Linked DNA regions of Schizosaccharomyces pombe. The gene in region 2 interacts genetically with the main gene of each other region. Each region holds a gene or a part of one and is shown on either strand. Other genes may lie near its edges.

Region 1 (3,509 bases), 1.8 Mb from region 2:
AGCCGACGGTAAGTCTACATTAACCAAAGTAGCACATTAACGCAAACCCTGTACCTCGTTATTCCGATAAAGGTTTATGTAAATTTATATCAAGTAGAACATGTAAATGGCAATACATGTCAATACATTAAGATATTCTTTTTATTTACGTTAACATCTTATGTTTTTAGTTGATTCAACTTTGATTATGCTTACGATGCCTAACAATGCTCTTCAACGTGTACGGATATCGGATTTCCAAAAAAAAAATAATAAAATAAAATAAAAGGCAATTTAACAAATAGGTAAATTCATAGAAAATGTGAGTTTAACAGGTATTGTGATTCTGCAAAATAGATTGATTTTAAAAAACCCGCGCTGAAGATGAATGTCATTCATACAATAAAGTAAGACAAACCTAACTATAATGATCCCCTAACAAAAGCACGACCACTCGTTTGCACGAATTACTTTAAGGTAGACGTGTATAAACAACTTACAAAATACCGATTTCAGCCTAGCAAACTTCAATATTTACATCGTAAAAAAAAGGAAAGATAAAGACGGTATTTATCATATAGAAGTCTTTATTAAAGAGTTGGCATTCGAAAAAAAATAAAAGCTTATCATTCAGATAACATTAAGACAGTTATGCTTACAAAATGTTATTTAAGTTAGAAGGGAAAGTGGTGGGAATCGGGAAGATAAGGGCACATTTCTTCTCAATTTACAATACTCAGACATTTGATATCATAAATACTGATTCTCGTAAAAAGGTAACACCAGTAAGTTGACTAAAGAAAGAAAACAGTGTTCCATACCAAAATCAAATCATTTTTCGCTAAATATAAACCATAAAAAGTGAGGTCGAACTTAGCTAGTTGACAAAGTAAGAAAGAAAAAGAATGACAGCAAATAGAAGATATAAAAAAGGTGGTATGTTTCTTCTATGTTCGTCAAGCTTTTCGCTATCTACAAATCCTCAAGAGCTTGGTGAACTTCATCTAATTCAGCCTTGACCTTAGTATACTTGTCAGTCATTTCTTCTAGTTTCTGTTCCATATCATCACGCTCACGCTCTAGAGATTGGACGCGACGTTCAAAATGCTCAGCCTTAACATCAGTTTGACGCATCTTTTCGGTGGTTTCGCGAAGTAGCTTGTCATTAGTTTCTAGTTCTTCCTCTAAAAGCTCAACTTTACGGCTCAACTGCTCGGCTTCCGTCTTTTGAATATCTTCATTGTCGGCTTTGAGACGTAACTGCTTAGTTTCTTCTTCTAACTCTTCGAGTTGAGACTCGGCGGCTTCGCTTTTCCTCGAAAGAGACTCATATTCTTGCTCTTTAAGAGAAAGTTGAAGTTCAACTTCTTTCAACTTGGCTTCAGCTGCTTCAGCACGAGCGACAGCCTCATCAGTCTCAGCACGAGCGGCATTAATTTTCTAAATAAAAAGCAAATATTAGCAACTTGATTTTCCAATGAAAAGCTATCATCTCATACCTCTCTAAGCTTATCCATTTTCCTACTGTTTCCTTCTTTCCTTGATGGTGGAGGGAAGATACCGATGGGTGTGTTTGACATGCATATACCACGGTAAGGGTGGTGAATTAATTGACGGTACAAGAAAGTTCTATTTACTAATTTATTACAAAGAAATACACACAAGCTCTACAGTAAAGCGCTTTGTTCATCAAAGAACAAAGAAGTTGAGGCTTTGCTTACAACACACCAGATTGTTAATTTCATCAAAGAAATAAGCGTTAAAAGAGCAAAGTTAAAAACAGTAGTCAAACATTTGTAAATTATAATCGAAGTGTTCCTGCAATAGATTTTCAAGTTTGGAATGAAGTGATTTAAACAATGCCTGATTTTTGTATTTATGACTGAAATTTTAAGAGCTCTCTACTGCTAAAGAAAAATGGCATATATCAATAATATTTAATCATTTAGTTATACAATTATAAAGAGGTCCGCTTGTTAATTTCATATTTACACACATACAGACTAGGAATTAGTTGGAAACAGGTATTTAAGAAGCAATATTTTAAATGGCTATTATCATACTTCCAATTGCCAAAGTAATCATTTCATTAAGTTTCACAACATTTAGCTTACATAGGTTACGGAGTCGTAATTGCGACAAGAGAAAAGAAAGGAGAATCAATACTCTGAATATAATTTTTAATAACTGAAAGTACTTCGGCATTCAGTAAATCACTTTCAATTTCAGAATGTTGCACGGGCCCCTCTTGGCGGCCGTCTAGCTCATAAAAATGATTGTCGTCCTTTGATTTTCCCTTTACAAAACAGATAAAATGAAGATCAGTTTCTACATCTTCCTCAGACCCCTCTACTTCCAAAGGTGGACCAGCAAATGCTGCATGTAAAGCTTCAAGTTCTTTCGAATCCTCGATAAGCTTAGCCCTTTCTTCGATAGATGAACCTTCAGCAGTTCTGATTAGACTTTTAATAAAATCATTTTCATTGACTTTTCTTCTAAGTTCTCCATTCGAAACCGCATGTAGCAATCCAATCGTTCCGCAAGCATTTGGAATTGTTTGAGGGTACCACAAGACTTTGTCACTATCCTTTGGTAAAATTCGTGATCCTTTATATATAGTTTTTGTTCCTGAGGATGGAAAAACGAATAAAAGAGCATGGACAGGACGAGGGATATATTCGGGGATTTCCTCTAATGAAAACAGGTCAAAAACGCTAGCATCTTGTACACCGATTTTTTGTAAGTAAGGTTCCAGCACCTCTGGTGTATTTTCTAAAGGCCTCCACATTGTAATTTTTCTCGAATGATAAATGGCTCTAATTGAGGCTTTTTTGATCAGGTTTGGAAGGCGTGGCAGAGGTCTCAGAAGTCAGCAAAGAGGCAAAACACCAAAGTTTGACAAAGTTAATCGAATATCTTTAGATTGCCAATTTTGGGAATCTACAAAAAAGCTTTACTATAATCAGTATCCTATACTTCAATATCCTGTCACGTTCAGCTATGAAGATGACTGTAAAAATAGGGATTGTTCCATAGGTATATTATAAATAGAGTCATAAAATATTAATAATTACCAAGATTTACCTATATACATTTACTGTAAAATCTAAAATTCTGGCTTCGAAGTCCAACCAACGTTCTTATAGGTAGTGTTGAAATATTTGCACGAATAAAGATTTTTCAAAATGAAGATACTAAGAGTTAGAAGACCTTAAGTTTCTGAGAAGTTCAGCAATATAAAGCTCCACGTGCGATTTCAATTTTTCGAATTCCATAGTTATAGAGGATATTTGAGACTCCAGTTCTTCTCGCATTCCAGCAATTTTTTGTTCGGTCATCTCTATCATGGCATTTTTCTTTTCAGTCTCCTGAATCTTTTTATTCCTTTCTTGGGTAATTACTTTGTATTCTTCCCGTATGTTGTCCATTCGTTGTTTGGCAGCCTCAAGTTTTTGATTTCGAGAATGTTGTTCATGCTCGAGTTTTTCTTGAGCATTAGATAATTGCTTTAAAAGTTGTTCTTTTCTGAA
Region 2 (3,758 bases):
TAGAGGATCTTTGTTTTTCTCCAGCCAATCTTTGGTATCATATTCGACATCACCAGCATAATGTTTTAAAACAAAGCCTTCACTAGAAAACTTTTTAGGACGGTATATATCGGATTTACCCTTAAAAAGAAGGTGAAGTTTTTCTGTGAATGTAGCATCAGTAGCCATTGGCATAACACAATCCTCGTCGAGGCAAGAAAAAATACCAATGGGCTCAGATTTTTCGATAGCATCTATGGTGGGCTGCAAATCATTTCCGTAGTCAATAAAATCCCATTCGATGCGTTCTTGTGTATATTCTTCTTGTTCCAGAACGAACATGTAATGATTAAAGAATTGCTGAAGCTTTTCATTTGTAAAATTAATACAGAGTTGCTCAAAACTATTAAAAGTGAAAATTTCAAACCCAGCAATATCTAAAACCCCAATGAACCCATCATGTTCAGACTGAGAATAATACATAGTCTGATTCAGACGTTTCACTAAATGCGCAAAATTACGCTCATAAAGGCCTTTGGCTAAGGATTGTAGTGTATGGACTACTTGTTCACGTGTTCTTGCCGTCACAATCCATTCTCGTCCAGCTTTGGACTTTGGGTGTAAAGCTGCATTAACAAATCCATCAACAGGGATTTCGAGTAAATGGCATAATTGATCAATTTGCGTTAAGGAAGGAAATCTAGCTTGCCCCGAACGATCAGATGCTACTTCAATATTTCCTATATGAAGAATTGAAGCTATAATTAAGAACAAACTGTGAATTTCGTTATTATCAAACCCCAAAGTTCTGAGACCAAAGCATAATTTTTGAAATTCTTTGCCATCATCGACTCCATTAATATGCTTGAGACCATTTTTTAAATATGAGTAATGGTCAACATATCGATCAAGGAAAAGACTTTCAAGCAATGATCCATCAGCACCTCGAAGTAGTTGATAAAAGACGTGATAATTGCGTTCATTGGAGGAAGGATGTATAACGCGAGATTTTTCCAAAAGGTACCAGTCTAAATTCGCTCCAACGATGCTTCCATTATTAGAAAATTCAATTCGTATGAACTTGCCAAAGCGGGATGAGTTGTTATTCCGGACAGTCTGAGCATTCCCAAAAGCCTCCAACACAGGATTCGTTTCAAGGATTTTCTTCTCCAACTGTTGAGAATCGCTTGTGGAAGCATCAGTGACCGATGTTAGGTACTGAATAACCTTTTTAGTAGTTTCAGTTTTTCCAGCTCCTGATTCACCAGTAACTAAAATAGATTGATTGATCCTCCTTTCTAATAAACTTCGATATGCGGCATCAGCTGTTCCAAAAATATGGGGTTTAGTTTCTTTAAACTGTTTAGATTGGTATTTTCGCACAACATCATCGCCATAAATTGGTAAATGACAATAGGGGTTTACAGCAACGAGAAACAAGCCTGAATAGGTATATATTAAATCTTTCTCATAACGCTGAGTAAGGTTGTTAACTACTGATGGTTCGTTGAGACATGTCAACGCAGCCATGTCATCAACCATATCAAACTTCGGTGGATTTACTTTTTCAGCATCAAATCCATCCACAATTCTTTCCGAGCCATCTCTTTCTAATTTCACCCTATATTTTTCTCCTAAATCTTCAACTATCCAAGCTTTCACGAATGATTCCTTCGAATCAGGAATCCAGATCCATGTCCGTTCATCAAAAGACGCGTCTTTCACGGCATTGCAATGTTTTTCAGCATCTACTAGCTTTTTGATAATATTATTGTTGTCGTTAGAGCCATTTTTTGAAAGATACGACATTAAATTAAGAAGTATAACACATTGGCAATGCTGCAGCTGTATAAATCATGACTGCGCAGCAATGTAAATATTTATGAATGTTACTATGGCAACGAAATACAAATGGATTGTTTACAATACTATGTAAGAGAATACTTATAAATGGTTAAACAATAAATTATACCTGTTAAAATGTAGTAAGCCAGTCGTCTTTTGCCAGGATATTAGGCACGTATGTGGATATCCCTTAGTAATCTTCTGATAAAATAAATAAGTTGAAGTAAAGTGAATAACTAAAGAACTCAACTTCAACGAAAAAGGAAATCGAGAAGAGATAAAATAAAAGAATGAAAACAAGTCTCAGGCAATTATTGTTTTTTTTCGGGGCTAATTTTACAGTTAGCTACCAAGGCAGAAAGTGGAGGATTTTCCCCTTCCATCGTATACTCTTTGGGCTTGACTAAATACCCATTTAAATCGGCGTGTTTAAATTCAGCGAAGTACCGTGCTGGCTTTTTAGTGTCTTTACTGAGCAAGATTAATTCAACGTCAATCCAGCGAATGAGTGCTTTCACCTGTATAGTACCTAAAGCACTTTTCGGTAAATTTAAACATTGAATTTCATCTTTAGGCTCCATCAATCGTTCCTCACCATTTCGCGAAATTCTTAAACGAACCATATCTTCATTAGCATGAGACGGATTACCATCAAGGTGTTTATTAGGCGATACAAAAGACGAATCATGCTGCTTTAAACACCAATAAGCAAAATTAGCAGCACGTCGGACCATAATCCCAGCTTCTTTTACAAAAGGAAGAGCTGTAACGACATGACAACAATCATCGTACATTTCCAAACGAACCTTTGTACGCTTACCATTGTATACGTCTGTATTCATTTTGTGAGCGATGTACACTATTTCGTCTCGTAAGCGTTCGCCCGATCCACCCAGAACAAGTGACGGCGGTAAACCACCAAGGTTTTCAGTGAAGATAGGACTGATCAGAGGATGCTTTAAATTTGCATTAGAGGTATAAAACTGTACTTGAAAAGGAAATGTAGTCAAAATGTTAGGGTCTAAACGAGAGTCCACATTGTCAAAATCAATACGTGCATGTTCTTTATCCATCTCTTGCAACACGGGGATCAAATTTTTGATGGTCTGAATTTTTTTACGTATGCTGTTTTCAATAAAGTTAGTCAATTCTTGTTTCTTGGAATAATTTAGTAATTCCTTTTCGGATATCGTTGAGAAAGAATCTAAGTTAGTAATGGGCCAATATCTGCTGGCTCGGTGATGAAATCCTTCGCTTGGAATATAGTCAGCAGCATCATCTGCAACTACAGAAGGAAGACTATGAGTCAAATCAACCCAAGGGGAATCATAAACTACTCCAGCAGGTAAGGGTAATTTTGAATCTCTAATCAAAACTAGTGATGCAACGATTAAACCAGCACCTGAGCTATCGCCCATAAATATTATATTTTCTGGCTTGGTGCTTTTAAGTAGATACAAATAAGATGAAAGTACATCATGCAAAGAGCAAGGAAAGGGAAATTGCGGTGCTAACCGCAGATCTGGAGCAAAGGTTCTAGCACCCAGAGCTGCAGTATGACGCTGAATATGATAAGCATTAGTACGAACAGTACTTAAATAATGAGCACCTCCATGAACATAAAAAATAACTTTATCACATTTGAGATTGTGCCTTATATGATGTCGCCTTTCAATCCACCAGGATTTTAAAGGTGACTTTCGATAAAGCCACCAGTTTGAGCCCCCAAATTGTTTAATGCCTTCTGGTCCCAAATAGTTTCGAATGTAAGAAGCAGAATCTGATTCTGACTTTGAATCTATAGGTTGTGATGTAAATTTAAACTTAAACTCATCCGTTAAGCTCCTTGAGCAAAAATCTTGAACAACTTCTACTTTATAATCCCTGCTATCAATTAAAAATTTTTTTAAAATCGACACTCCCAAATCAAGCAT
Region 3 (3,758 bases), on a different chromosome or scaffold from region 2:
AAAAGGAATCGAAAGAACTTGTGCCGGGTAGTCCATAAAGAAAAAAAATCAACTATAACATAGACAGCAAGACTAAAGCTACTGTTAATTTCAGATTTTTTAGACTCTAGTATTCCAGCCATTGAATTGGGCGCTTCAATAGTAGCACAAGCTTCAGGTACATATTGCAAATGCCATTTTGCATCTTTTCGGGTGATTACTTTCCAGAAAAGGAGTTGTTCTTGTGCCAAAAAAGCATTGGATTGTAAGATACCTCTCCTAGGAATTTCATATTGGTCTTGCTCGAAATAATCGGCTAGTGGTCCAGGGTTTGGATATGAATCTTGCAAAGCGACGTATCGAAATCCATAAATTGCGTTAAGCGCATTTGAAATATAACCCATGCAGCTGTCGTACGGTAAGCGAAGATTGTTATGGATCATTTGGTCAAAATGTTGAGAAGCAATGAATGGATTTAACAGTCTAAAGCCAAACTTTCCTGTATCAATCGAAGTTTTACCACACATTCCTCCAATAGTGGAATCAACATCAAAAGCTTTCCACGCATGATAAATAGATGTTGGGCCAAGCCTTGCACCGTTACGAACAAAGAGACAAACCTTGGGACGAGCAAGCGATGCTATACCATTTAAAAACCAGCGATGCGAGTTATAAGTGCCTAGACGACGGTCCTTAACACAGAGTAACATCTGCATTGGAACGTTTCCGTCACCAGTCGCTGTTGTAAGATTGAGTTTCTCATCAACGTTGATGGTACTTGTGAATTCATACATATGGGATAAAGTTCTTTTTCCGTTTACTCTCCCTTTAGCAATGTGAGGTTGATACACTCCTATAGATGCAAGCAAGTCCAAGACGTTTTGGTGAACAGTGTTACGGCCATCAATTACGACACATACTAAAACCTTTTCCCAACTCTCATTTCCCCATACCCGCGACTTAGACCGTGAGCAAAGATGTTTTAAATTATTCATGATACTAGAAAGAGAAATGGCAAAAGATGCCAAATCCTCATCGCTAAGTGTTAGACAAACAGCAATTTGAATGTCGCGACCCGTGGACCATGTTCGTAGTTGAAGCCCATTATTATTCATATCTTCTGGTTGGCAGGTAATGGCCGAATACCGCAGGAAACTTGCTTCATCGGGGTTTTTTTGCATAAATGGACCAAGCATGCCACGTAAGTCTATTGGCGTTGGGCAATCAATAGTCAGGCTTCCACATAATAATGGAACATCTTTGGAATAGTGCGAACTTGATGAATTCAAGCGATCAATCGAGGTGTATGACTGACTGTGCGTCATTGGTTCATTGACGGGCGAAGCAGAGATTTCTGAATTAAAGTCCAGATACTCATTCTTGGAGGAATTTTCATAACCGTCGTCTGAGTTACTATTCACAGTATGGGTTGGTTGAAGAGGAACGCTAAAAACTCCAGTTTTGTGAAGTGGAGGGATAGGTGGCTCGTGTTCATCAAATGAACGCTCCTCAAAATCGTAAACTGAATCTGTGTAAGAAAAAGCATCTTCTTCCAAGGTCCTTAACGTCTTCATATACTCGACTTTTTGATCGTCAGGAGATTTTATCTCATCATACTCATCGTAACAAGGAAAGCTTTTAGAAGAACTCGAACTGAGGGTCGAACTAGAATATGCTGTTTCTTCATCTACACTACTGTGACTGACCCAGTTTCGTAAATCCTGCGAATCTTGAGTGTCCTTAGGTTGCAAGAAGGACCGGTGTTTAGCATTAATATAGCTGGGATTCTGAAAACTCATGTTGATGCTTTCAAAAATTTCCACAAAGCAAGAAATGAATAAAAGTGTTTGGGTTGTTTGATATTATAAATTTTCCAGATAGCGATAATTCCTTGCTTTTAGAGGGCTTAAGACGATCAATACCAAAGCCTCAGAACAAGCAGAATGATGGACCACAGCTTGCTTTTATTCCATTCGAAATTGTTACTGATTTCATTGTTTACAAATTTAGAAACGATGTTTGTTTACGAAGCAGATGCCATAGTAACGAGGTAGCCATGCAACGCGTGCGTAGCCTATGAGAACGTACAGGAGATGCAGCGCCATAATTTGTACTGCGTACTCCGTAAAATGAGAATAATGAGCAAAAGGGTATAGTATTTTTTCAACGTTCAAAAGTAACGAACAGTCAAAGATGCTAGATGGGGCAAGGAAACGACTAAAAAATTGATGTCAGAATTTCTTGACACAATAAACATGAATTAAAATTCTTTACTCTAATCAAAGAATGAAATTAATGATTTTTAAATTCAACTCAACTGCTGATGTTTTGGAAATTAGTTAAGGTAGGCAGGTGTGTGTAGCACGCACGTTACGTGATGACATTTACTTGTGTCAAACACAACAAACCAATCTTACCTTTCCCGTAACGCGATTCAGACATTGCAAGACTGCAACTATCGAGATAAAGCAGTCATTTCTGTTGCATTTATGAGTTTTTAACCATGGATGTAATGAATGTGCCTGTCGACTCAGAACGCGACAATCCTGGTAAGTTTTTACATGCTTCTTCTGCGAAACATCATTTCGAGAAACAATCTTGGTTTATGAGGTTCGTTTTTAACAAATGCTAATATTATAGGCGACAAAGTTGAGACACAATCTGATAAAAACCATTTACCAAAAGCGTCACCGTCTCAATCCCAGTCACCTGTAAACACCTCTTTGCACAATGGTGATGGAAAAGATAATGGCGTAGCTACTGAACCTGTTGAAAACAAACAGATTTTATCGGAAAGAAGTGTAACTCGCGATGATTACGAAAAAGGAAAAACCATAGTTTCCTCGCTCGCCTTATCATCGATTTCTGGTAAAGATGGCTCCATTTCTTCACAAAATGCAGAAGGATTAAGTTCTTCTTCTAATCGTCCTTTGGATGTGAACGATGCGCTTTCCTATCTTGAGTTAGTAAAATATTATTTTTCTGAACGCCGAGAAATTTACAATCGATTTTTGGAAATTATGCGCGATTTCAAATCTCAGGCGCTTGACACCTTGGGAGTTATTAATCGTGTATCAGAGTTGTTTAACGGTTACCCTCAACTTATTGAAGGCTTTAACACGTTTCTTCCATCCGGTTACAAAATAGAAGTACAATTGGACTCTTCAAACACTAGTGTTGTACGTGTAGGTACTCCTATGCACCCACTTCCCCAGCAGGGCGTCCAAAGTACATTGCCCGTGGCTCCATCTAATGAAGATCAGCGAACAATGGAATCCACTAGTCCTACTGACTCTCAACCTCAGCCATCTGCTCCAAATTTAGTTTCCAGTACTGAAAACGAGAAGCCTCGGGTAGATTTTAACTATGCGATTGCTTATATGAACAAAGTTAAGGCTCGTTATCCACCAAATTCCGACACGTACATGGAATTTTTAGGTGTTTTGCGCACTTATCAGAAAGCACAAAAGTCGATTTTTGAAGTGCGTGCGAGGGTCGCTGAAATTTTTAAAGATTCACCAGATTTGTTGGAGGAGTTTAAACTTTTTCTTCCTGATAATGTTGATTCAACTGAGCCATCCACCCCTAATGTTCAGAAATCTCCAAACCGTCTTCCTCCGGTTGGGAATTTCAGTCTTCCCCCTTCTGCACCTGTACGTGAAAAAAGAAATCGACCGGCTCATTCTGCCCAAATCAGTAGATCGATATCTAAAACCTCGAGGATGTATCGACAAACTGCTGAAGAGCCATTGAACTCTTATTCCCTTCATGTATATCCG

What was found.
Region 1: mutations in myp2 (region 2) and cdc8 impair growth when combined (synthetic growth defect), as found in Schizosaccharomyces pombe (2 studies listed by BioGRID, with this or other methods).
Region 3: mutations in myp2 (region 2) and chs2 are lethal when combined (synthetic lethality), as found in Schizosaccharomyces pombe (one study listed by BioGRID).

What each region holds. Positions count from the first base shown.
Region 1 is NC_003424.3:4,318,709-4,322,217, forward strand, and holds cdc8 (tropomyosin), read right to left. Parts: upstream 1,528-3,509; 5' UTR 1,497-1,527; coding exon 1,479-1,496; exon of another isoform or gene 1,465-1,478; intron 1,420-1,464; coding exon 952-1,419; 3' UTR 539-951; downstream 1-538. Other genes in the region: ubiquitin hydrolase Uch1, read right to left, coding at 2,099-2,767; protein Nuf2, read right to left, coding at 3,174-3,509. UniProt on the Schizosaccharomyces pombe protein: Forms part of the F-actin contractile ring during cytokinesis.
Region 2 is NC_003424.3:2,551,878-2,555,635, forward strand, and holds the start of myp2 (Myo3-like myosin II heavy chain myp2), read right to left. Parts: upstream 1,827-3,758; 5' UTR 1,789-1,826; coding exon 1-1,788. Other genes in the region: SPOM_SPAC4A8.06C (esterase/lipase), read right to left, coding at 2,136-3,758. UniProt on the Schizosaccharomyces pombe protein: Stabilizes the F-actin cables forming the F-actin ring that surrounds the nucleus during interphase. May work in conjunction with myo2.
Region 3 is NC_003423.3:1,093,378-1,097,135, reverse strand, and holds the start of chs2 (chitin synthase-like protein 2), read right to left. Parts: upstream 1,916-3,758; 5' UTR 1,779-1,915; coding exon 1-1,778. Other genes in the region: SIN3 family co-repressor, Clr6 and Rpd3L histone deacetylase complex subunit Pst3, read left to right, coding at 2,483-2,528, 2,620-3,758. UniProt on the Schizosaccharomyces pombe protein: Plays a role in septum formation. Has no chitin synthase activity.